7 linked regions of the Sus scrofa genome follow. The protein of the gene in region 1 purifies or fractionates together with the protein of each later gene. This does not show direct contact. Links are inferred from orthologs where the notes say so. Each region holds a gene or a part of one and is shown in the gene's direction. Other genes may lie near its edges. The genes, in order: MMS19, POLE, CDKAL1, PPAT, PRIM1, PRIM2 and FAM96B.

What was found.
Region 2: the proteins of MMS19 (region 1) and POLE purify together in Homo sapiens (affinity purification with western blotting; 3 studies listed by BioGRID and IntAct, with this or other methods). This does not show direct contact. The link is inferred for Sus scrofa from reciprocal best matches to the Homo sapiens genes MMS19 and POLE.
Region 3: the proteins of MMS19 (region 1) and CDKAL1 purify together in Homo sapiens (affinity purification with mass spectrometry; 4 studies listed by BioGRID and IntAct, counting the BioPlex papers as one, with this or other methods). This does not show direct contact. The link is inferred for Sus scrofa from reciprocal best matches to the Homo sapiens genes MMS19 and CDKAL1.
Region 4: the proteins of MMS19 (region 1) and PPAT purify together in Homo sapiens (affinity purification with mass spectrometry; 3 studies listed by BioGRID and IntAct, with this or other methods). This does not show direct contact. The link is inferred for Sus scrofa from reciprocal best matches to the Homo sapiens genes MMS19 and PPAT.
Region 5: the proteins of MMS19 (region 1) and PRIM1 purify together in Homo sapiens (affinity purification with western blotting; 3 studies listed by BioGRID and IntAct, with this or other methods). This does not show direct contact. The link is inferred for Sus scrofa from reciprocal best matches to the Homo sapiens genes MMS19 and PRIM1.
Region 6: the proteins of MMS19 (region 1) and PRIM2 purify together in Homo sapiens (affinity purification with western blotting; 5 studies listed by BioGRID and IntAct, with this or other methods). This does not show direct contact. The link is inferred for Sus scrofa from reciprocal best matches to the Homo sapiens genes MMS19 and PRIM2.
Region 7: the proteins of MMS19 (region 1) and FAM96B purify together in Homo sapiens (affinity purification with western blotting; 11 studies listed by BioGRID and IntAct, counting the BioPlex papers as one, with this or other methods). This does not show direct contact. The link is inferred for Sus scrofa from reciprocal best matches to the Homo sapiens genes MMS19 and CIAO2B.

The regions. Positions count from the first base shown.
Region 1 is NC_010456.5:108,883,788-108,888,069, reverse strand, and holds the start of MMS19 (MMS19 nucleotide excision repair protein homolog), read left to right. Parts: upstream 1-1,482; 5' UTR 1,483-1,529; coding exon 1,530-1,641; intron 1,642-1,887; exon of another isoform or gene 1,888-2,536; intron 2,537-4,282. Other genes in the region: UBTD1 (ubiquitin domain-containing protein 1), read right to left, coding at 599-668. UniProt on the Homo sapiens protein: Key component of the cytosolic iron-sulfur protein assembly (CIA) complex, a multiprotein complex that mediates the incorporation of iron-sulfur cluster into apoproteins specifically involved in DNA metabolism and genomic integrity.
Region 2 is NC_010456.5:22,846,646-22,850,145, forward strand, and holds part of POLE (DNA polymerase epsilon catalytic subunit A), read left to right. Parts: intron 1-240; coding exon 241-424; intron 425-1,313; coding exon 1,314-1,445; intron 1,446-1,573; coding exon 1,574-1,767; intron 1,768-3,500. UniProt on the Homo sapiens protein: Catalytic component of the DNA polymerase epsilon complex. Participates in chromosomal DNA replication.
Region 3 is NC_010449.5:16,567,394-16,570,143, forward strand, and holds the end of CDKAL1 (threonylcarbamoyladenosine tRNA methylthiotransferase), read left to right. Parts: intron 1-1,678; coding exon 1,679-1,870; 3' UTR 1,871-2,250; downstream 2,251-2,750. UniProt on the Homo sapiens protein: Catalyzes the methylthiolation of N6-threonylcarbamoyladenosine (t(6)A), leading to the formation of 2-methylthio-N6-threonylcarbamoyladenosine (ms(2)t(6)A) at position 37 in tRNAs that read codons beginning with adenine.
Region 4 is NC_010450.4:55,659,578-55,663,077, reverse strand, and holds part of PPAT (amidophosphoribosyltransferase), read left to right. Parts: intron 1-801; coding exon 802-914; intron 915-1,016; coding exon 1,017-1,162; intron 1,163-1,890; coding exon 1,891-1,963; intron 1,964-3,069; coding exon 3,070-3,221; intron 3,222-3,500. UniProt on the Homo sapiens protein: Catalyzes the formation of phosphoribosylamine from phosphoribosylpyrophosphate (PRPP) and glutamine.
Region 5 is NC_010447.5:22,086,614-22,090,845, reverse strand, and holds the start of PRIM1 (DNA primase small subunit), read left to right. Parts: upstream 1-1,432; 5' UTR 1,433-1,484; coding exon of another isoform or gene 1,485-1,587; intron 1,588-1,857; 5' UTR 1,858-2,011; intron 2,012-2,300; coding exon of another isoform or gene 2,301-2,404; coding exon 2,405-2,458; intron 2,459-4,232. UniProt on the Homo sapiens protein: Catalytic subunit of the DNA primase complex and component of the DNA polymerase alpha complex (also known as the alpha DNA polymerase-primase complex - primosome/replisome) which play an essential role in the initiation of DNA synthesis.
Region 6 is NC_010449.5:28,274,126-28,276,633, reverse strand, and holds the end of PRIM2 (DNA primase large subunit), read left to right. Parts: intron 1-1,408; coding exon 1,409-1,630; 3' UTR 1,631-2,008; downstream 2,009-2,508. UniProt on the Homo sapiens protein: Regulatory subunit of the DNA primase complex and component of the DNA polymerase alpha complex (also known as the alpha DNA polymerase-primase complex) which play an essential role in the initiation of DNA synthesis.
Region 7 is NC_010448.4:27,609,969-27,613,859, reverse strand, and holds FAM96B (mitotic spindle-associated MMXD complex subunit MIP18), read left to right. Parts: upstream 1-1,242; 5' UTR 1,243-1,300; coding exon 1,301-1,448; intron 1,449-1,607; coding exon 1,608-1,687; intron 1,688-1,946; coding exon 1,947-2,072; intron 2,073-2,488; coding exon 2,489-2,534; intron 2,535-3,173; coding exon 3,174-3,271; 3' UTR 3,272-3,391; downstream 3,392-3,891.

The DNA.
Region 1 (4,282 bases):
AGCGATTCCCACCCCGCACCCCACCTTTTCTAGACTCCCAGACGGCCAGGAGGCTCTAAAAAGCCCTGCGGGAAAAATAAAGATTTCTTTCCCAGAGTCCTGCGCTGCTTTTGCAAGTCGGATTCCGGCAGGCACGATCTGCAGCCCGATAATGACACAGTCTTTGGAAGGAGCGCCTGTTCTCATCTCGCTCGCTTCGAGTTCTGGGACGACTGGCCACCCGCGCCGTGCCCCGACGGGCGGGCGTCCGACCCCGGCCCCGCTGCCAGGCCAGCGGCGCCCCGGCCTGGGGCCCTCCTCCCCTCCGCCGGCCCCGCTGCGGTCTGCAAACATTTCCTGCTCCCGCCCCCACCCCCACCCGGAGCTTCCCAGTTGGAGCGAGTTGGGCTCGCAGCCGGGTCAGCGCTCGCAGTTGCCACAAGTCGGCTCCCCCGGCCACTGGGGCCGGGGAAGGGGACCCCCGTCTGCCTCGGAAGCAGCCATCAGGGAAACCTAGGCGCCAGGAGCCGTGGGAGGTAGCTCAGGAAGCCCAGTTCTCGCGCAAGAAGGCGGACAACTGGCTGGGCGCCGGTGGCCCTGCTCCCTTCCCGGTCGTTACCTGCTCGCTTGCGGGGGTGTCCCGGGGCGGTCGGCCTCTCCCGGCGCTGTCTCCCCACACAGTTGCCCATGCTGGCTCTTCAGCCGGGCCCCATGCACCGAAGGCGACGGGATGGTCCGCTGCTCCGCGGTCCTGCCCCGGACGGCGGCGTCCCAGGTCAACGGCTCCGACCGCCCGGCATCGGGCGCTTCCCGATCTCCCCCCTGCGGCGCGCTCTACCCCAGCGCCGGCTTCGCCACAAACTTTGCGGGCAAGGAGAAAGAGGGAGGTGGCCGACTCCCCAACACAGTCCCAGGTGGCCGGGCCAGGGGGGCCCGCGACGGTGCCCGGCTGGAGACCAGCTCCGCTGAAGGGGCGGAGAGAGGGGGCGGGCACCGCCGCTGTTACTCCCGGCTCGCTCGGGGCTCCCAGCTGGGGCCGGCCCCCCGGAGCCTGTCACTCACCTGCCTAACCCCGCCCCAGCCCAGCCCTGCTCCCTGCCGCCGGCTCGCGGTGCCCGCGCCGCCGCCGCCGCCCGCCCCAGGTGCGCATGTGACCGACGGCACCGCCCCCTCGGGCCGGGCCTGGTTTTCTCATTGGTTCCCCCCAGGGTGCGTACCGCCCCTCGGCCCCACCCAGACAGGTGCCCGCCCCGCCGCGGGTCTCCCGGGAAGCTGGGCCGGGAATTATTCGCCCTCAATGGCCCCCGGCTGCGTGCCCAGCAGCCGCCTTCGCTCCCTGAGCCACCGCCCCGACTCCGGGCCCCGCCCCTTGGGGAGGGGCCGTCCCATCCCACCCTGGAACTGCCTGGCCTGGAGCCGGCAGGCACGTGATCCAGGGAGCGCCCCGCCCCCTCAGCCTTCGCCAGGCGATTGGCTCAGGAGGCGCGTGCGCTGAGAGGCCCATCCCGTGCCACCGCCCATTTCCCCTCCCACCGTCTCCAGTTCGCGTCATGGCCGCCGCCACCGCTCTGGAGGCGGTCGCGCCTACGGGCGCCCTGTGGGGCCTCGTGCAAGACTTCGTCATGGGTCAGCAGGAGGGCCCCGCAGACCAAGTGGCTGCAGGTACGGCAGACGGCGCCGCGCGGCTTCCGCTTGGGGGCCTCCAGGAGGGAGCGGCCTCAGCACGGGCGCCGGGCGGGAAGGGAGCGGTGACTTTGAGAGATTGGTCCCGGGCTGGTTGTGAGCACCGCGTGCTTAAGAACCATAACAAATTGCGAGTCGCTTGCAGTCTTCCTTAAAGCGCCCTTATGACCCTCGTTTTGGTTTATAGCCACCCTGTGCACCGGCCTGGGTTAGGAAAATCATTACCATTTCGCAGGTGTGGAAACTGAGGCCCAGAGAGGGCCAGAGGCTTCCTGGGGGAGTTGGGACTTGGACGCAGGTCCTCCAGTTCAGAATCAGGTGCTCACTCCGCGAAAGCACGTTGTTTCGAGGAAGTTGATGTGACGAGAAGCATCTTCGGCAGCATCAGCTCCAGTCGCGTGGCATGTTGGGAGTGGCCGCGCGACCCAATCTCTGACTGGCTGTAATTAATTGGAGAGAGGAGGAGAGAAACCAGCCTAGGGGGAGTTTGAGATGTTCTGCGTATCTCTTCCCCCCATTCTTGTTCAAGTTCTTGATTAATTTGCTTCGTGCCTTTTTTATGTGGTGTGTGTTTTTATATTTTTCCCAGAACTCCAATTTCCTGCTTTTCACCAGTTTAGGGATCTCTTAGTTCTGACAGCTTATCTAAAATTTGAGCGGAGCAAATGACAGATTTCCTTGAAATTCTGAGACTTCACTCTTTTAGAAAAAGAAAAATCTAAAAAGTTATTGAATGTTAGGAGGCCTTCGGACCTTGTGTCTATGTAATAGAATACAAAATAATCTTGTCAGTACAGATAAGTTTTGTCTTTATTTTTGGAAATTGCGCGTGTTTGGGGAGAAGTAAAGGATACATTTCTCTTGAAAAGTGAACACACTTGCTTTTAAAATATGTGGGAAATGAATAAAGTGAACCTGTCAGAAGTATAATACTTTGGGAGTTCCTGGTGGCTCAGGAGGTTAAGGATCTGGTGTTGTCGCTGCCATGGCTTGAGTGTGGCACTGGTTCGATCCCTGGCGGGGGAACTTCCACGTGCTGCCTGCTTAGCCAAAAAAAAAAAAAAAAAGGAGTTCCCGTCCTTACGCAGTGGTTAACGAATCCGACTAGGAACTATGAGGTTGCGGGTTGGATCCCTGGCCTTGCTCAGTGGGTTAAGGATCCTGCGTTGCCGTGAGCTATGGTGTAGGTCACAGACACGCTCGGATCCTGCGTTGCTGTGGCTCTGGCGTAGGCCGGTGGCTACAGTTCCGATTAGACCCCTAGCCTGGGAACCTCCATATGCCGCTGGAGCAGCCCAAGAAATGGCAGAAAGACACACACACAAAAAAGTATTATACATTATGGCAATATTCTACTTTCAGTCTTAGCACCATTATTGAACACATTATTCTTCAAACGCAGTGCTAAGCAGTAGGAACATAAATATCAATTAGATGAGATCTCTGCCTGCCAGGAACTTATAGTGTGGTGGGAGAAACAATCATTTGGACAGGTAGTATGCTACGCTACGAAAAGGGCCGTAAGAGGTATGTACAATATGACGTGGAACCAGCAAGGAGCAAATGCCTGATATAGCCATTCCGCTAAGCTTAACCTCTTACAGCTTTATGCAGTATAGTGTGTTTTCAGTGCTTCCAATTAACAATGGCAGTGTATTATCAATGTCATTTTCCCCAGTGTTGTATTATGAAAAATTTCATACAGCAAAGTTTAAATAATTTCATAAGGAACACACATACACTCACCACCTAGATTCTACCATTAGCATTTAACATAATTAGCATTATCATGTAGCTATCCATTTAAATTGCAGATATCAGTATGCGTCCCTCTAACTGCTTTTGTATGCGTATTGTTGACTAAGGTATAAAACTTGTAAGACAAAGTGTACAAATCTTAAGCATAGTTCACTGATTTTGAAAAATTCGTATACCTCCTCCCACCAAGACAAAGAACATTACTATAAAAGGTGTCATTCGTAACTCTTCTTTCACATTTATACATTATGAACACAGTAATTTAGGGTTTTTCAAATTCAGAACACTTTTGAGAAGAAAGCATGAATAAGGACTGCCAAGTTCTTATAAATACTTTGTAAAATTTACATTTTTATGCCTGAAAAAAAATGGCCTAGACTATTGTCTAGTTTAAATTTAACTCAACTCTGCCAAGACTGTAACACTAGCCCTTTTGCAATTTAGCCCTCCTGACTAAGAAAGGAGGTTGGTAATAACAGATAAGGTTGAAAAGGTTTGGTGGGATTGGATTATGCATAACCTTAGATTCTGAGGATTTGAATGACTTACTGTAGGTGGTTGGAGTCAGTGTAGATACTTGAGCAAGGAAGTCATATGGTGAAGGTGAATTTGAGAAGGATTAAACTAGTGTACAGTGTTAGATGACAGCCTTAGAGTTGTTGAAGTTGACAGAGTTTTGAAGCATCCCTAGTGTAAGATGTGCTTTCCTATCCTCCAGCCTAAGTCAAGCTTTATTAGTGCTGAAGGGGCCAGATTTCTGTTCAGCCACTCACAGCAGCGGCCTCTTCTACAAATTGTAAATGCAGAAGGAACACCCTGTGATCACAAAGGCAGCTACTACCAACTTTGCGTTGCACCTAGG
Region 2 (3,500 bases), about 86 Mb from region 1:
CTGAGGCCTAGGAACTTCCATATGCTGCAGGTACAGCCTTAAAAAGCAAAAAACAAACAAAAAACTGTGTACTAAATGCCTCTATGCTCCAGGCATGTTCCAGAGGTGACCTTCTTGCAGCTGCCCTGCAGGAGCCACTAGACAAGCGTCACCCTAGATGGCCTGGGCTCAGCCAGGGCGGCTTCACCCACTGAAGGCTGTTTGGGAAAGCTGACCATGGTTGTCTCTGTGTCACAACAGGACTCCCCTAAAGAGGGCAGAGTGGAGGAGGAGGAAGCTGAGGAGGAGGAGGAGGAGGAGGAGGAGGAGGAGGGAGGCTCTAAGGAGCTAGATGTGGAGGATTTGCTGGAAAACAACTGGAACATCTTGCAGTTTCTGCCGCAGGCAGCCTCCTGCCAAAGCTACTTCCTCATGATTGTCTCAGGTGAGTCATCCACACTTGATGTCATGTTCCAGCCATGCAGTCAGTGGGAATAAGGTGGTTCTGGCAGGAGCAGGACCTGTGTCTGGGCTCCTGAGAGGCAGAGAGGAGACCCTTGGCCCCGCCCAGAGCCAGTGAGGAAGGCTGCCCTGGGGCGTCACTGAAGGGCTCATAGTCCTGCCCCCCCCAGGTTTGTGCATGTGCACAAATAGTGACTAAATTAAACCCCAAGTAGAAAAGTTTAGACACTTCCTGAACAAATTACCCCCCCACCCCAGCTGCCTGGCCTTTGAGGCTCAATTTCTGCTTATAAGAAACTGGTATTTGATTTGGGTCTAAAGGTTTAGTGTTTACAAACCAAGTTATCTAGGTTGATGTGCAAATACAGTGCATAAATTCCACCGCTGTTGTACTTCCGAGCTGATCCTTGGATCGGAACAGTCAGTGAAGAGCATCATAAGTCGTTAGCAGATACACAGACACAGATATAGGTTTCCCCACATACAGAGCGACAGACAGTTTCTTTTATATTTTATATTTCTGTCTACTTGCCTTTGAGTCTTTCATTTTCTTAAGTTCGCTTTTTGAATGACTGACCCGGGTGGAGCTTGGAGAGATGTGCTGACCCTGGGTCACATCCAGTGTGAAGGTGAATACGTGTTGCCTTCTTTGTGCAGGACTCTCTCTGACTATGAACTTGTGCATCAGCGAGGGCTCCTGCTCATTCTCATTTCTCTCTTTGACTTTGGCTCATCTACGTGCAGCAAATGGAATCATCACTAACAATGACATTTCAGCCCAGCCTGGCCGGCGCTGTGAGCAGCATGCGGCTGGGTGCCTCTCATTCCAGTTGTTCCTGGTGTTGCCGACGCCTCTCTCTCCTCCTCTGCAGCCTACATCGTGGCCGTGTACCACAGCATGAAGGAGGAGCTGAGGCGCAGCACCCCAGGGAGCACCCCTGTGCGGAGGAGGGGGGCCAGCCAGCTCTCCCAGGAGGCCCAGGGGGAAGCTGGAGCCCTTCCCGGTGAGCACCCTGCTATGTGAGGCCTACCCTATGTGCTCCTGGAGGGGAGGGGGGTCCCCACTCCTTCCCTGGTGTCCTCATTGCTGTGTGAAGTAGGGAAGCAGCTGCCATGTGGCTTCTCTTCCCAGGTATGATCACCTTCTCACAGGATTACGTGGCGAATGAACTCACGCAGAACTTCTTCACCATCACACAGAAGATTAAGAAGAAAGTCACGGGCTCTCGGAACTCCACTGAGCCCTCAGAAATGTTTCCTGTCCTCCCTGGTTCTCACCTGCTGCTCAATAACCCTGCTCTGGAGTTCATCAAATACGTGTGCAAGGTGAGGGCGCTCACACTGATAGTTTGCACAACACTCACTCACTGCACCATGCTCCATGCAGCCGCTGTGTGAGGCATTTGGGGCTCACAGTAGACAAGACAGGAAAGCCCTGTGTCCTCACGGAGCCTGCCCTCCACTGGGGGACAACTAGTCAGTGAGGGACAGGTGAGCCCAGAGAGCACAGGTGCTGAGGGGTGGGCTCAGAGATAGGGCGGGTGAGTAGGGCCCTCTGATGGGGCCTGGGGCTCAGTGTAGGGCCTGAGAGGGGGATGAGGTCTGAGCAGAGGCAGGCAGAGGCCCTGGGGTGGAGGGTGATCTGGGGGTGCTGGCAGGGGCTGAGCAGGTGAGCCGTGGGATGGCGGGTGTACACCGCTCCCATGGGGCTCATGGACCAGACTAGGAAGTGGAGGAGGCTTTCCAAATGTCCGGGCTGCTGTGGAACCCAAGGGGAGAGCTTGCTGGGACGCTAAATGCCTTTCTGGGAAAGGCAGGCTGAATCAGACGACGGGATAGTATTACCAGATAAGACCCAGCAGGCGTCATCTTGTACAGAGCACTTTACTTACTGTCCATTAAGTAAGTGATCAAGTGACTTCTGATTGTAGTAAAGGAATTTAGTATACCATTTTATTTTATTTTATTTATTTATTTTTGTCTTTTTGTCTTTTAGGGCCACACCTGTGGCATATGGAGGTTCCCAGGCTAGGGGTCTCATCAGAGCAACAGCTGCTGGCTTACTGCACAGCCACAGCAACGCCAGATCCAAGCCATGTCTGCAACCTACACTGCAGCTCACAGCAACGTCAGATCTCTAACCCACTAGAACCTGCAACATCATGGTTCCTAGCCAGACTCGTTTGTCTCCACTGTACCACAACGGGCATTCCAAGTTAATTTTTGTACAATTATGTATGGTCATATTTCTATATAAGCATATCCAATTATTCCAGCACTAATTGTTGAAAACATTATCCTTTCTCTATTTATTATGTTTGTGTCTTTTTCAAAACTGGCTGTGCACGTGTGTGAGTCTGATTCTCTGTCTCCATTGATCTAAATGTCCATCTGTTCTCCAGCACCACACTGTCTTAATTCCTATAACTTTATCAACAAGTCTTAAAACTAAGTGTGTGACTGGTTTAACTTTCTTCTTTTTCAAAATTATTTTGGCTATTCTCAATCCTTTGCCTTACCTTATAAAGTTTGAGTCAGCATATCAGTTTTTACCAAGGAAAAAAACATCTTCCTGGGGAGTTCCTATTGTGGTGCAGCAGAAACGAATCCGACTAGTATCTGTGAGGATGCGGGTTCCATCCCTGGCCTTGCTCAGTGGGTCAAGGATCTGACATTGCCACAAGTGTTGCCGTGAACTATGGTGTAGGTTGCAGATTCCGCTTGGATCCCACATTGCCGTGGCTATGGCTGTGGCTAGCAGCTACAGCTCTGATTTGACCCCGAGCCTGGGAACTTCTACATGCTACAGATGTGCCCCTAAGGGAAAAAAAAAAAATCCTCCTAGATCGTTGATTGGAGTTGTTTTGAGTCTATAGATTAATTTAGGGAGACTTGATAACTAATGTTGAGGCCTCCAATCCATGAGCCGCTAAATCTTTCCATTTCATTATGCTGGGGCTTTCCGCACATAAGTATTGCATATGTTTGCACTTCAAGTGTTTATGGAGTTTGGTGCTACTGTAATGGCACTGATTGTTTGAATTGTTTAATTTTGATTT
Region 3 (2,750 bases), on another chromosome or scaffold:
GACTTGGATCTGACCCTTTAAGAAAAGGAACTGTAACTTATACCTAACCTGGCCCACTTTGCCTATGGTGGGTGTTTGGATGTGCCTATGCTGAAGAAGTAAGTCATGGCTTCTTACGTCAAACTAAAGAGCTTCTGCACAGCAAAGGAGACCATCAACAAAGGGAAAAGGCACCCAACCGAGTGGTAAAAAATATTTGCAAACGATATATCTGATATCTGGTACAGAGTTGATATCCAAAATATATGCAGAACTCATACAGCTCAATAGCAACAACAACAAAAATAAATCTGATTTTAAAAATAGGCAGACGGGGAGTTCCCAGTGTGGCACCGTGGAAACAAATCCAACAGGATTCGGATTTGATCCCTGGCCTTGCTCAGTGGGTTGGTGATCTGGCATTGCTGTGAGCTGTGGTATAGGCTGCAGATGTGGCTTGGATCCTGCTTTGCTGTGGCTATTGAGTAGGCTGGCAACTGTAGCTCTTAGTCCACCCCTAGCCTGGAAACTTCCATTGCTGTGGGTGTGGTGGCCTTGAAAAGCAAAATAAATAAATAAATAAATAAATGGGCAGAGGATCTAAATAGACAGTTTACCTAAGAAGACTTACAGACGGTGGAGAGGTGCATGCAAAGATGGTCATCATCACTAATCATCAGGGAAATGCAAATTGAAACCACAATGGATGTCACCTCATACCTATTAGAATGGGTATTATCTAAAGAGATGAGAACTAACAAATGTTGGTGGATGTGGAGAAAAACGAACCCTTGTGCATTGTTGGTTGGAATGTAAATTGGTGCGGCTACTATGGAAAACCGTATGGACTTTCTTCAAAAAATTAAAAATAGAACTGCCACATGGTCCAGCAATTCAACTTTTGAGTATTTATCCAAAGGAAACAAAAGCACTAACTCAAAAAGATACATGCACGCCCATGTTCACTGCAGTGTTATTTACAGTAGCCAGGACATGGAAGCAACCTAAGTGTCCATCAGTGGATGAATGGATAAGGAAGATGTGGCACATATATACACATATACACACAATGGAATATTACTCAGTTGTAAAAAAAGAAAGAAAAAAAAGGAGGTCTTGCTATTTGTGACAACATGGATGGACCTTGGGGGCATTATGCTAAGTGAAATAAGTCAGAGAAAGATGTAGAATCTTAAAACAAACAAAACAAAACGAAACAAACCCCTGAATGTATAGATACAGAGAATAGATTGGTGGTTGTCTATCACAGTCCGCGCCGGGGCAGTGGCAATGGCAGTTGGGTGACATGATGGGTGAAGAGAGTCAACAGACAAAAGATACAAACTACCATTTGTAACATAAATACATCTTGGGGATGAAATGTATAGCATGCTGATTTTAGTTAACCATACTGCATTGTATATTTACAAGTTGATTAGAGAATAGATCTCATTACAGGGGGAAAAAAATGTAACTATGTTATAACCAAACTTGTGGTGATCATTTCACAATGTATACAAACATTGAGTCTTTATGTTATATACAATGTTATATTTCGATTATATCTCAATTTAAAAAAATAGCTCTTTTTAGGATCCAATACTTAACTGCTATCACAATAGTGCTTTTTTTTTTTTTTTTTTTTTTTTTTGGTTCTTTAAAATCTTTGATTTTTCTCTCTCCTCCTCTCTCTTTATAGGAATTCAGAAATAGGCTTGGGAATCACCTGAATTCAATATCCCACACCTCGACTGGAACTCAACGAAATGCCGCAAGTTCCAGAATGGCACTGCAACTGCAAAGGCTACACCAAGACTGTGCACTGAGATTGTCGGTGGGCCTGGCTCTGTTGGCTCTTCTGTTTGCTTTTTTGGTCAAGGTCTATAATTAAAACATAACCAACTGAAGCATTTGTGAAGGAGAATAAATATCTAATTAAAATCTTCAAAGAGAAGGAGAGCGACCACATCAATTCTCAAAGGGCAATAATTTATACTGGTCTCTGCTCTTCAGCCACACTCTCTAATGAGGCTACCCCTGTCTCACGTTGTGTTGAGCCCATTGGTTATTTGACCTAAAACCTAACACCAGCTGCCATAGCATATCTTTTCAATTAAGCTCCTTTTGGTCTATTTTTAGCGAGAAATGCAAGTGGTTGCATTTTCTTTAAATCACCAATCTTCAGGTCAGAACCTGTTTGTACAGTGGATCGGGTCACCTCTTCCTTATGTGGGAAGAATTTTCCACTTTCAATAAACACTTTAAAATGTATCTTTCTCTTTATGCTTTGTTTGGGGTCTCGATGCTACAAACATCTTATTTCCCACAGCAGATGTGTTCCTGAAAAGTTTACTTGGAAACCTCTTTTTGGAACACGAGTCCTTTTGGAATGCACCAAGAGAGCCTGTCCATTAAAAGACCCTTGGCGACATCTTGAAAAGCCTGAAAAATCACCCACTTCTTCAGCACCCACAAACTTCCAAGGACTGGATTTGTCTGAAACAAGCTCTGCCTCTTTCCCAACATTTCTGATCGATTATATCAATCGCTTATTTCCACCTGACATTGGTGGCCTTTACTAAGAGAAGTGATTTCTTTCACACTAAAAGGACATGAATAAGTCTCATGACCATGAGAATTTAAATAAGTTATTTGGATTGTACAGTCACAGGGAAATCAGGCCCCCAGTGGTAACCATGGGACAGTTTTCTTTTTTAACCCCTACCCTTCTTCACCTCTTCCCTTCATCTCAAAATGTTCCGACCTCCTAT
Region 4 (3,500 bases), on another chromosome or scaffold:
GGTGAGGGTTTGATCCCTCTCCTGGAACTTAATATGCCACAGGCACAGCCAAAAAAAAAAAAAAAAAAAGTATAAATATGAAATAGAAATTATTTTAAAAACTAATTAAGAGATAACCACCAAAAGTTCAGTTCCACTCGGAGCCCCCACCTCTGCCCATGGTCCTGTGTCATGATGATGGGGGGATGGACAGCCACCATCACCATCAGCAACAGACCTGGGTTGAGAGGGCCCCTGTGTGTGCCACTCATGTGGGGATGTGACCTGTTTGTCAGGAGTGTTGAGGGCTGAAAAAATTAGAACCAAATCCCAAACCCTTGGACTTCCCGTTGTGGTTCAGCGGAAACAAACCCGACTAGTATCCTTGAGGACCTGGGTTCAATCCCTGGCCTTGCTTAGTGGGTTAAGGATCCGTTGTTGCTGTGAGCTGTGCTATAGGTCACAGGTGCGGCTCAGATCTGGTGCAGCCCTAAAAGGCCAAAGAACAAAAATCCCAATCCTTTGTGCCTTCCTCCTCCCCCCACCCATCCATTGCTGGTCTATATTCCTGCAGACTGAGTTCTCAGAGACCCTCCCGAAGCCCTCCCCCTGTTTGAAAAGCTTCGGAGACTCCGCCGCTCCAGCAGCATTCTGCATCCCAGCTGTACATTCCTACCATTGGTATATACATACCTACATAGGGTTGCAGAACTAACCGGGCATCCACGCCATGTCTGATCTCTTTCTCCAAAGGCAGGCTGCTGGGTGAGCGGGACTGAACCTTCCCCTCCAGTGGTTACAGCTTCTCTCTTTTCTAAATAGCTTCTGCGCCATGGTATTGGTCTGTCCACAAGCTCCGATAGTGAGATGATCACCCAGTTACTGGCATATACCCCTCCTCAGGAGCAAGATGACACCCCAGACTGGGTGGCCAGGTAATTAGAGAACCAAGCTGAGCCTGCAGCTCCGCTAATGAGAGCTTTGCCTTCGTGTGTTTATAATTAACAGGATTCATTCAATGATCTCCTTACTTCTAGGATTAAAAACTTAATGAAGGAAGCACCCACAGCCTACTCCCTCATCATCATGCACAGAGACGTGATCTATGCCGTACGAGACCCTTATGGGAATCGCCCTCTGTGCATTGGTCGTCTTATTCCTGTATCTGATATAAATGATAAAGGTAATGAACGTCAAAAGGAACATCATTTTATAATGCCCTTCAAGTCATTGATCTGCTCTTGGCACACCCTGCAATTTTTAGATATAGGAATCTTATTAAGTAGAGCTAGGTAAAAAAGAAAAAAAATGGTACTTAGTTTTTAGAGTGCCCATTGTGGCTCAGCAGTAACGAACCTAACTAGTATCCATGAGGACTCAGGTTCCATCCCTGGCCTTGATCAGTGGGTTAAGGATCCGGTGTTGCCGTAAGTGGTGGTATAGGCCAGCAGCTACAGCTCTGATTCAACCCCTAGCCTGGGAACTTCCATATGCCAGAGGTGCAGCCCTATAAAAGACCCCAAAAAAGTACAATTTCTTGAGCGTTTCTGAGGATGAGCCACTTTTCATATATTTGATGGACATTCCTATTTTTTCCTGTCTGAATGGCCTATTCATATCCTTTGCCCAGCTTTTTCATCTGGGTAGCATGATTTCAGTGACTCTCTTGACTTATCAGATGTCTTATGCAAGCCGTGAATCATAATGTGTGAAGGAAACTTGGGATCATTAATTTCACTTTTGGTTCTAATCAAATGAGGAGTCGTGTGTGTGCTCTTAAAGTCATAGTAATTGATATTCCATGAGCTCTTTAATCTTTGTATTTGGTGTTTAACTCTTCTCTTGAAATAGGTAGCATCTTTCAAAGTTTCTTGAGTTCATTAACTGAATCAATTGTCTTGTGATTTACAGAAAAAAAATCTTCAGAAACAGAAGGATGGGTGGTGTCTTCAGAATCTTGTAGCTTTTTGTCTATTGGTGCAAGGTAAGTTGTATCTCACTTAGGAGATCACTTTTTCAGCATCGATACAAAGTGTGTTTCTCTACTTGAGGGTTTTGTTTCTGGAGTCTACAAGAATTCATGTTTATGAATGTAGCTCCTTCTGTACATTGGGCTCAGCAGTTACAATGACCTTAATGTTCCAATGGTACCTTCTAATCCTGGAGCTGGCATCTTCTTTTCAAAACACCATGAGACTTATTTTAGAAAGAAAGTATCTCTTCAACAAGAAATAGTTATGCTTGGAGTTAGGATCCATGAGGACATGGATTTGATCCCTGTCCTTGCTCAGTGGGTTAAGGATCCTGCGTTGAGGAGTTCCCATCCTGGCTCAGTGGTTAACGAATCTGACTAGGAACCATGAGGTTGCGGGTTTGATCCCTAACCTCACTCAGTGCGTTAAGGATCCGTGTTGCCGTGAGCTGTGGTGTAGGTCGCAGATGTGGCTCGGATCCAAAGTTGCTGTAGCTGTGGTGTAGGCCTGTGGCTACAGCTCCGATTAGACTCCTAGCCTGGGAACCTCCATATGCCACAGGGGTGGCCCTAAAAAGCAAAAAAGAAAAGGAAAGAAAGGAAAAGAAATAGTTATGCTCAAAAAATGTTCTCTTTAGCTTTCATTCTTTCAAAAATCAACAAAATGTAGGGCTTTTTTTAAAATTCTTTTTTCTTTCAATTTTTTAGTTTTATTGAAGAAAGTTTATTTACAATGTTGTGCTAATTTCTGCTGTACAACAGAGTGATTCAGTTATACATGTCCACATATCCATTCTCCTTCAGATTCTTTCCCACAGAGATGATCACAGAATATTAGGTTCTCTGTGCTGTACAGCAGGTACAGGCCTGTCAGCATGTGTATATGTTTTTAAATTCTAAATTCAAATGTAGGGGTAACATGGAGTTCCTTCATGGCCCAGCAGGTTAAAGATATGGCGTTGTCACTGCTGTGGCTCTGCTTACAGCTGTGACACAGATTTTAGTCCCTGGCCAGGGAATTTCCACATGCTGTTGGCAGGGCAAAAAAAAAAAAAAAAAAGTTAGGGTTTACAGATGTATGTAAATTACTGAAGTCTTCTTTAACATTGATTTCCAAGGTACTACCGTGAAGTCTTACCTGGAGAAATTGTGGAAATATCCAGACATAATGTCCAAACTCTTGATGTTATACCAAGGTCTGAAGGAAACCCAATGGCTTTCTGTATCTTCGAATATGTTTATTTTGCAAGACCAGATAGTATATTTGAAGGTAAGTCCAGTATCTTTAAGTACTGATATCAATCTGTTATTTATCTCATTGAGACCTGGCAGTTCTTGGGCCCACAGGCTCACCTGGCTCTTCAAACTCACATAAGTATATGTGGGGGATTTGAGGATTGAACCTGCAGGTCGTAAGATCACTATTTATCCTTTTCACCTGATGCCTAGATTTTGTGTTCCTTTAGGAGTAAGGATTATGATTTCAGAAATGTATTAGGCTTAATTTTTTTTAAATAGTGAATTCCCTTGGTTTATTATTTCCAATGTA
Region 5 (4,232 bases), on another chromosome or scaffold:
AAAAAAAAAAGCCTATTAAAAAGTGTGGTTCCACAAAAGAGAACTCTACAGGGCACTCTTGGTGCTATTAGAGTGAATCCCTTTCCAGCAAGGGATTCACCCAAAACAGGAAGCACAGGGATTGTGAAAATCAGCTAAGATTTATATAGTATTTCTAGGAATACTCAAGTAAGTATGATCTGCCCAGTGCCTAGTTTGACCACTTTGCCTATGCAAGATGAAGGGCCATGATCACTTTCAAATTAGGCTAATAATAACCCACTAGAGAGCAGAGAATACTCTCCTTGCTTTCCTACTATTATTGTGAAAATAATGGTTTTCAAATGACACAGCACTGGGGTGATTATCAGACTGCCCACCTCAGTCCACATTTGTAATGAAATGTATCTACCTGGTAAGACTGACTGGCAGATGTGCATGTCAAGAGTAAACAGGCTTCTTTCAAATTTGTAAAGCACTCCATGATTTTGCAAGCTTCCTCTGATTTTAGTATTCCTGGGTGTTCTGTTTAAGCGACAATGTAGAAACAAACGATGACCAGACCATATAAAAAAACAGAACTCTGACCCACAACCTCTCCAATGCCTACCTAGGAAACCAACCCCCTTATCTATATAATAAATAGCCCAAGAAGTCAGGCTGCTTTAAGTCAGACTTGTAGGAAATCAAACTAAAGTCTCTAGTGATATTCCAGGAAGCCAAATACCCTACATAACAATCCATCCAACATAGCCAGTACTTGATTAATAACTGACAGCTTCCCTAATTTTTGTCCCCACTCTCAATTTAGGACCAACCGCAGAAAGCCAAATATGCACCCCTAACCTATCACATAGGTCACATAGGATACCCCGCTCTGAGGTAGCCCACAGACAGCTTCCCCATAACAAATAGCTTTGCATTAGAAAAAGAGTGAAACCTGCCCCCCCAAAGCTTTCTCCCCTCCTCTGCCTGCGTTTGAGCCTTTGCCAAAATGTAATGTGATGTGGCTGACTCTATACATGGCAAGCTCTTGAATGAATAGCTTTTGCTTTTCTTATTTGGTTGGTCATCATTTATTTCCACATACTGGACCTAGTTATTCTATGAAGAACCAATTTCCAAACCCTCTTTAAAAAGATACTGGTTAACATTGTTTAAATGTGTTGTTTCTAAAACAGTCATAAAGTTAGCAGATAACATCTTTTTCACTTCATCTTAATAACCTTAATATGTTCCATGGCTCACCTTTCCGCAGATCTCCCTGCAATGAGCACGGCTTCCTTCTACCCACCAGAGAAGTGGACCTACATGTTAAATCTGTGAGTGAAGACCGTAGTAGCGCTCCCACACCCAAGCCAACCTCCAAAAGAGAACTACAATTCCCAACAGCCCCTGCAGATGGCTGGCCGCTGCCACTACGCGCCTGCGCAGTTGCGGAAGCTCGACTGTGCGGTTCCCGCCAATTCTCGTGCTAATCCTGCCTGGGTTGAGTTCTGCGTTTCATGGAGACGTTTGACCCTACCGAGCTGCCCGAGCTGCTTAAGCTTTATTACCGGAGGCTCTTTCCCTACGCCCAGTACTATCGCTGGCTGAACTATGGCGGAGGTGATGAAGGCGGGAGCGGGGTGGGAAATGGCTCGGGGTGGGGGGGGAGTGTGAGGAGGTTCTGGGAGGGTACCTTGGAATGACAATATGAAGTGCCTTCCATGTTCCAGGCCTTGTGTCGGGCGCCTTTGTGCGTTGCCTTGAGCCCTCCCCACCACTGCCGAGGTGTAAATGGGCCTAGAGTGGGATGTAATGACCAGTCTACACCACGCACTGAAAGACAGAGCCTTTGCTCCTCCCACTTTGTGTTTGAACTCACTTTCGTTGCAGCGTTTACCTGCTCTGATGCAGTGTTAATCTTCTCGGTTCCTGAGCGAAGGTGGCGGAGGTGGCGGGGAGCAAGGGAGTCCACTGGGTTGTAGCAAGAAGCTGCAGAGACATAATCTGCATCAGGGACAGACGGGCATCTCCTGAAAGAGGAGAGGTACTTAACTCTTCCCAGCTGAATTTGAGTGCCCACCTAGGAAAGAGAGGTGGTACTACATGAAAATATTTCTGCATCTTTTTCCTCATTTTTACCTTTCCCTATTAAATGCAGGATGGTGAACTCCTTCAAATTAGGGACTAGTTCTTGGTTTTGGTTTTTGTTTTAATGTAGCACAGTGTTGAGTACAGAGGGTTCGTGAAAGATATCTTCTTGTTGGTTAATGTTTTAATACTCTGAACTGGATAAAATACCATACTAACTTTTAAAATGTATGTTCATTTTGCAGTGGTAAAGAATTACTTTCAACACCGTGAATTTTCATTCACGTTGAAAGATGACATTTACATTCGCTACCAATCTTTCAACAACCAGAGTGAGCTGGAAAAGGAGATGCAGAAAATGAATCCATACAAGATTGATATAGGCGCGGTATATTCCCACAGAGTAAGAAATCAGTTTTTTATGTAGTTTATTGTTTTTTTAAACCAAGAATGGATTGGTGCCCCTAGCGTTTTGAGATACATTTTTAGAGTTTATTCTAATTAAGGAGCCACACTTTAACAGTTTTTGCAAGTAGATTGTAGTGAAAATAAAATTTGTTCTTTGATGGGAGTTCCCGTTGTGGCGCAGCAGAAATGAATCCGACTAGGAATCATGAAGTTGCAGGTTTGATCCCTGGCCTTGCTCTGCAGGTTAAGGATCTGGCGCTGCCATGAGCTGTGGTGTAGATTGCAGTCGAGTCTGGGATCCCACGTTGCTGTGGCTCTGGCGTAGGCCGCGGCTACAGCTCCAATTTGACCCCTAGCCTGGGAATCTCTACATCTCTACAGCGGGCCCCAGAAAAGGCAAAAAGACAAGAACCAAAAAAAGAAAAGAAAAGAAAAGGTCCATGAAAGAAAAGATATTTGACACTTTGTGTATCTGGAGAATGTGTTTATTCTACCATTATGCTTAACTAATGGTTGAGTTTGTAAACCATTTTCCCCCAGTATTTTGCATTTTTTTTTTTTTTTTTTTTTTTTTTAGTCTTTTGTCTTTTTAGGGCTGCACCCATGGCATATGGATGTTCCCAGGCTAGGGGTCCAGTCGGAGCTGTAGCCACCATCCTATGCCACAGCCATGGCAACGTAGGATCCAAGCCGCATCTGCAAACTGCACCACAGCTCACAGCAACACTGGATCCTTAACCCACTGAGCAAAGCCAGGGATCAAACCTGTGTCCTCATGGATACTAGTCAGATTTGTTTCTGCTGAGCCATAATGGGATCTACCCTTTTTTTTTTTTCTTTCTTCCTCTTTATGGCATATGCCAGGGGTCAAGTCAGAGCTGTAGCTGAGGCCCATGCCACAGTCAGAGCAACACCAGACCTGAGCTGCATCTGCAACCTATGCTGCAGCTTGCAGCAATGCCAGATCCTTAACCCACTAAGAGGCCAGGAATCAAACCATCATGCACATGGACACTCTGTCCAGTTCTTTTAATTTTTTTTTTTTTTTTTTTTTTTTTTTTTTTTGTCTTTTGTCTTTTGTTGTTGTTGCTATTTCTTGGGCCGCTCCCGTGGCATATGGAGGTTCCCAGGCTAGGGGTTGAATCGGAGCTGTAGCCACCGGCCTACGCCAGAGCCACAGCAACGCAGGATCCGAGCCGCGTCTGCAACCTACACCACAGCTCACGGCAACGCCGGATCTTTAACCCACTGAGCAAGGGCAGGGACCGAACCCGCAACCTCATGGTTCCTAGTCGGATTCGTTAACCACTGCGCCACGACGGGAACTCCGTCTGTCCAGTTCTTAACCTGTTGAGCCATGATGGGAACTCCTGCACTCCCTTTTTTAATTTTTAATATAATTTTTCCTACCTATTTTCTCTGGTCTCTAGAAATCCTACAATCAGATATTATGTCCTCTAATTGTATTTTTTTTTTTTTCTATTTTAAATTTCCTTTTTCTCTACTTTCTGGGGAATTTCCTCAGAGGTTTCCTTTTCTGCTATTATATTTAAAATCTCCAAGAAGTTTTTTAGAGCATCATGTATTTTTTTCACTGACATATATTACCTGAGAATATCAATAATAGTTTAATTTTTTTGTTACACCATCTGTTTTCTCTAAAGTTGCACTTTTTCTTTGTTTATTTTTTCCCCGTTCTTTCATATTGGAGGCTTTCCTCATATGATAAGGAAAATTTCCTCCAGTAATTTCTTGCTTGTGCTTATATT
Region 6 (2,508 bases), on another chromosome or scaffold:
AGAGCTCCTCACACAGGCCAGGCCCAGAGGTTAGTGCTCTGGACACACTGGCTTCTTTGGTCCACAGAGCAGCACCGAGCTGGACACACTCACATCCCCATTCAGAGCCTTGGGGGGTGCTGAGGGCGAGGGTCAAAGGGGCAGAGAAGACCCAGGCTGTTGAGGAATTCATCTAAAGCTTACGAACCTGACCAGGGCCACAACTGTCATTAGTGTTTTCCTGTCTAGATTCGTAGTTTACCTGACTTGCCCAGAGCACCCACACAGCCAATCACTGGGAGGCCTGGAGCTGGTCTGCTCTACCATGGGGCCAGCCCTCTTACTGTTACACCTGTTGAAAATAGTGTTTTTATTTAATAACATACAAATTTTCTTTGCAAAATTGAAAGGACTAAACATTAATAAAGTAGTAAACAACAACAAATTCTCATTAGGTGCTTTTTTAGGGTTTTTTTGGGGGGAGGGGGGCTTCCCTCACAGCATATGGATGTTCCCAGGCCAGAAACTGAATCCAAGCCACAGCTGCGACCTAAATGACAGCTATAGCAATGTCAGATCCTTAAACCCTTGAGCCACAAGGGATCTCCAGATTCTCATCGGTTTTATCAGAATAGGGCTCTCACCAGTTGAACGAATCTGGCTGGTATTTTCAGCACCAGCTTTGTACAACACTTTCCCTTATGAACTGTATTCTTTAATTTGCTTGCTCAGCTTAAGGGTTTTAATTTATGTTCTTAATTACTTGTGGGACAACCCCCCCTTCTTATTTTTTTTTCTTCTTATTTTGGGCCTCACCCTAGCACACAGAGTTCCTGGGCCAGGGATCAGATCCAAGCCACAGTTGCAACCAGGCTGGATCACCAACCCACTGTGGCGGGCCAGGGATCAAACCTGCTGCCAATCCCATTGCTTCCACACCCTTTTGATTAAGAGGCCTCAGAACTTTCCAAACTTAGGCCTAGTATTCAGTGTCTTTCCTTTTTAAAAAAAATAAGATATGAAAATTAGATTGAAACACTAAGTTTTTGACATAATCATTAAAAAGAAGTGTTTATTTCTCAAATCTGCTTTTGTTAGCATCTCTCCTATTGATTATTCCTACAAGAGCATCACTGCTATTGCCAATTTTAGAACTTGCCTTAGATTAATGAAGATATTAAAAGGACATGTGTCTGAATTCTCCCACATACGGAAACTGTCTACATTAGAAATCAATGAGTAAAAAAGGCTGTTTGCATTCACTACTTGTCTCAGTATAGATTTTTTTGGTTGGGAATATCTCTCTTTGCTTATTATTTTTTCTAATTTAATTTAAAACAATATAGTTTTATTGTCATGTTGCTGCCATTCTGCCTGCTCCTTTAGTTTGCTACATATTAATGTGGTAAACATTTGCTTTCCTGTGCAGGTGGATGACTGTGGCTTTTCTTTGAGTCATCCAAACCAGTTCTTTTTTGAGAGCCAGAAGATTCTGAATGGTGGCAAAGACCTCAAGAAGGAATCCACTCAGCCAGAAACACCCCAGCCCAGAGCGAATGTCCAGAAGAGCAAAGACGCATCCTCTGCCCTGGCCTCGCTCAACTCCTCCCTGGAGATGGACATGGAGGAGCTGGAGGAGCTGCTTCAGTGAGCGGTTCCTGAGCCCGTGGTGATCTTGCTTCCTCATCGGCTATTACTGGCTAGTTGTATGATTTTGTGTTTTTCTTCTCCATCTGCCTCCTCCCTCCACCCTACCCCACTTTAATCCACTGACGTGGGCACGCACTTCTTGGGAAGCCAGGCTTGCCAGTGAAAACAATGTCCTCCACTATATTTTGCTTTAAGATCTAGCACTTGGATGGTGTGGTCTCTGCCCTCTTTTAAGAGATGAGACGCTTTCTGGATTGGTTACAGCCCCTAGAAATAGTACCACTAGAACAGCTTTTATTGTAACCCTTATCACTGTAATTCTGACCCAGTCCTTTTCTGGACCATCTTTGTGAATAAATTATCAAAATGTTGAATGAGAGTGTCTGTGTTTAAGAGTCTAATTATGCCTTAAGAGATTAGACATTACTTCAGTTTTAAAGGTGGTATTTTGGAATAGACACCACATTGCCAAGTCACCAGTGAAGATGTTGAATTGTTTTTCTTTTCACCTCTTTCTTGTTGGTCTTGAAGTTGGCCACGTGAGCTTATTCTTCATTAGTAAGAACGTCTGCCCCTTTGATAGTGGGCTCCTGGATGAACTGTGTGAAGAGCACCAGAACATGGAACACCAATCATACTACTGACGAGCAGGAGTCTTCTACCATGTGCCGTGGAGATCCCCCACCTGATGTCCTCTATGTTCACTGGGGACATGACCATCACTAAGGTGAGAAGGTTCTGGCCAAGTCTTGTGTCGATCCCACACCAGCTCCCACAGCTCAGTGCTCTGGCAAGTTCAGTCCTATAAGCTCATTAGCTAAGTGGTGAAAATTGTGATACTTGTGGTAATGCCCATCTCAGTGCCCTGCACTCTGCCTG
Region 7 (3,891 bases), on another chromosome or scaffold:
CTGGGTTCCTGTCACCCTGCTTGGGAGCCTCATCCTATAGCTGGGGATTAAGAGAAGCAGAAGTCTGAGGAGGCGCTCAGTGGCACTCGAAGTCCATCCAGCTGCATGGTGAGCTTACAGGTCTTTTTCTTTTTTGCCCTACCATTGGGCACTCTGCTTTTCACCAAGTGGCTGCACAGGAACCCATCCAGCAGTCATTCAGGTCTAGAGATTGGACTGGGCAGGGAGTGGTGAGTTTGGCAGGAGAGACGGACTGAACAGGCCAAGGCCAGTGGCAGGCAGGGGCTAGCACATTAGCTTCCCCTCTCCCCAGGTTCTTCTGGGCTTCTACACAATACCAAGAACCCTCACCTCATACCTGAGTTCACTGTCCTTACAGCCATGGGCCCGACAAGTGTGTCCAGGGGGTCGAGAGAGAGAGCAGACGGAACTGTGATTAGGGAAACCAGGAGAGCTTCCTTGAAGAGGTGCCCTGGTCAGGATTCCCACAGACAGAGAAATGGGAATGACCTTCGTTCAGAGCGAAGGGAACCAACTAAGTAAAGGCAGGGAAGAGTGGCTGCCCTTCTCTCCAAAAACTCCTTGCTTTCTGGGATCGATTTCCTGGCTCTGCCTTCATCCCCTTATTGTCCCAGTTCTGGGGGTCTCTGAGGACCCCCTCCCTGATCGGCAATGGCCTGCCTTTTGAATGCACACCTGCCTGTGGCACTCCTCTTAAGAACACCCTCAACCCCACCTCAGGTCTTTCCTTTTACCCACCTCCCGCCAAAATCGAGTTCAGGCATTAATCACTGGACAAATATTTAAAGAACACCAGCTGGCCCGCGCGCTGGGGACCAGGAGGGCACTCCCGGGCCCAAGGAGCAGTGGGGGCTGCAGGTGCGCCACCGGGAGCTTCCAAAACACAGTGAACCCTGCACGGACAGAGGCAATTCTGGGGAAGGGAGCGGTCGCCTAGTCTAAGGGGCGGGCTTCTCAGAGGAAGCGATGTCTGAAGAAACTTCTCGGTCAATCCCAGACGAACCCTAAGTGCCTCAGTCTCGGACTCCACGGTCTAGCACGCTACCCGCCCGCACGCGGGGCCGGGTCTGCGAGCCTTTGCTGGAGCGCTGCGCATTTCCCCGGGTCTGCGTGGAGAGCGCGCCTACAACACCGCTCCACTCTATCCCCAGGCGGAGTACCGGCAGCGCTGCGTGTCCCTCGCGTTACCCCGTCGCCACGCCACGCCCCCTTCCCGTTCCCCGGAAGTGCATTCGTAGAAGCGGAAGTGCATGTCTACAGTTGCGGCCGAGGTTCCGCGATGGTGGGCGGCGGCGGAGGTGGCGTTGGGGGCGGCCTTCTGGAGAACGCGAACCCCCTCATTTACGAGCGCTCTGGGGAGCGGCCAGTGACCGCGGGCGAGGAAGACGAGCAAGTTCCAGACAGCATCGATGCGCGCGAGATCTTCGATATCCGCCGCTGCCGGGCGCGGGCGGGTTCACGGGTCCTGGGATGGGGTGGGATGTGGTGATGTCCAATAGTTGGTGGAGCTGTATCAGGGCCGAGCATTCCCGGCGGAGGGTTCTGAGTGGGCAGAAGCGCAGAGTCCCTTTTCCTTCACTTAGCACATCTGATTCGCTCCATCAATGACCCGGAGCATCCACTGACGCTGGAAGAATTGAACGTAGTAGAGCAAGTCCGGGTTCAGGTGAGTCACCTCCAGCATCCCGGGGGAGTGACTTGTTCCAGGGAGTCAGAAAGGCTCAACTTTGCTCCGGGGGGTGGGTGTTGTCTCAGCTCACAGAATCCTCAAGGGTCTTTGGAAGGGGGTGGGGTGTGTGCCTATTCTGTAGATGAGGAAACTGCATCCTACAGTGTTTAAGACAACTTGCCTGAAGCAGTAAACTAAGAAGAGGGGCTCTGGGCTAAGGGGGCCATGTCTCCCAACACTCCACCTCCTCAACCAGGTAAGCGACCCTGAGAGCACAGTGGCTGTGGCTTTCACACCCACCATTCCGCATTGCAGTATGGCCACCCTTATTGGCCTGTCCATCAAAGTCAAGCTTCTGCGATCCCTTCCTCAGCGTTTTAAGGTAAGTTGGAACTGAGCCCTAGGCGTGGGGCAGGCATGAGTGTCTGCTACTGAGGAGGGCGTGGAGAGCATGAACATGGATAACACAGTGAGACCTGAAGGGATCCCAGCTCGCAGAGATGAAACCGGGAGGAGGCTTTCCAATTGGATGGGACAGGATTTAGAGGCCCAAGCTGGAAAGTGCAGAAAAGTAGTGAGGAATGTGGCCTTAGGGGGCTGTGGATAGGTTTGGAGCAAGGATGGGGTCCAGGCAGGCTTTTGAGTCAGTAGCAGTTGGCCAGTCTTTTGGGTAGAGTTGCAGTGGCCATGAGTGGGTTTGGGTGTAATGGAAGGACCAGAGTCCAGAGGCATGAATGTGGAGACGGAAAGGGGTGGATGGGTGTGTGAGTGCCCAGACCCCACTTCTCTTCCTCCCAGATGGACGTGCACATTACGCCAGGGACCCATGCCTCTGAGCATGCAGGTAAGCATGGGCTGATGTCAAGGCATTGGCCTGGAGGCTTCCCCTTGCCGTTGTGGTTTGTAGGGCAAGATGGAGGGTAGGGCATGTGGCACGAGGTGGGTGCCCCCTCAGGGAGCTGGCCCGACTTGAGTCTCCAGTGTTTATTGTGTTCTCCCACTCCTACCCTCTCCCTGTCCTGAGTACACAGGACAAGGGTGTGTCTGGCTTTATAGTGTAGGAGGCAGACTTGGGTGGCGGGGTGGGAGAGGTCACAGAAAGGTGCAATAGGTGTGGGCTCAGGTGCTTGGGGTAGCCTGATCAAGCTTGGAGTCTTGGGAAGGAGAGGAGAGGAGGACTTTTTTCTTTTCTTTTGCTTTTTAAGGCTGCAGGTGTGGCATATGGAAGGGGTCACATCGGAGCTGCAGCTGCTGACCTACACCACAGCCACGGCAATGTGGGACCTGAGCTGTGTTTGAGACCTACACCACAGCTCATGGCAATGCCAGATCCTTAACCCACTGAGTGAGGCTAGAGATCGAACCCACGTCCTCATGGATACTAGTTGGCTTTGTTACCGTTGAGCCTCAGTGGGAACTCCCAGAGAGAATGACTTCGTTGGTGGGGGTATAAATATTTTTCACCTCTCTCCTTTCCACCCAGTGAACAAGCAGCTCGCAGATAAAGAGCGGGTGGCAGCTGCCCTAGAGAACACCCACCTGCTGGAGGTTGTGAACCAGTGTCTGTCAGCTCGCTCCTGAACCTGGATTTTTGCTCCCAGTCCCATTCAGGACTCATGGCCTTGTTTTCTTGAAATCACTGACAGTAAGAAACTAACATTTTGCATTTTGTAATAAACCCTTATTTATATTCCTCTTCCAGCATGCCTGAGAGTCTTTCATCTCAGTGGGATTAACGCTGGGTTTGGGGGTGGGGGTGGTAGTGCCTGTAGAGACTGGGTCAGTGAGGTTCAGATCATTTAAAAAACTGTCTCTTCAGAGGAAAGAAAATGTTCTGCTGATGGTTTGATCAGGAAAAGTATGCCAAAAAAATTGAAAAATTAATGTAGTGAACACTCCTATATAAGCACCACCTAAATTTGATAGTTGTTAACATGTTGCAACATTGGCTTTATTTGTGTGTGTGTAGAATATAAATATACTTGAGAGTAAGCTGCAGACACATGACCTTTCACTTCTAAGTTCTTCCTAAGAATAAGCTTGTAATCACAGTGGTTGTTTGGTCCCCAAATGAACAGTTCCCTGATGCTCATATCTAACGTCCAGTCAAATGTGAATTTCCCCAAAGTGTCATTCATAGTTGGTTTATTAATCAGGCTTTAGTCAAGTTTCATGTATTGCATTTGGTTGTCTTACTCTCT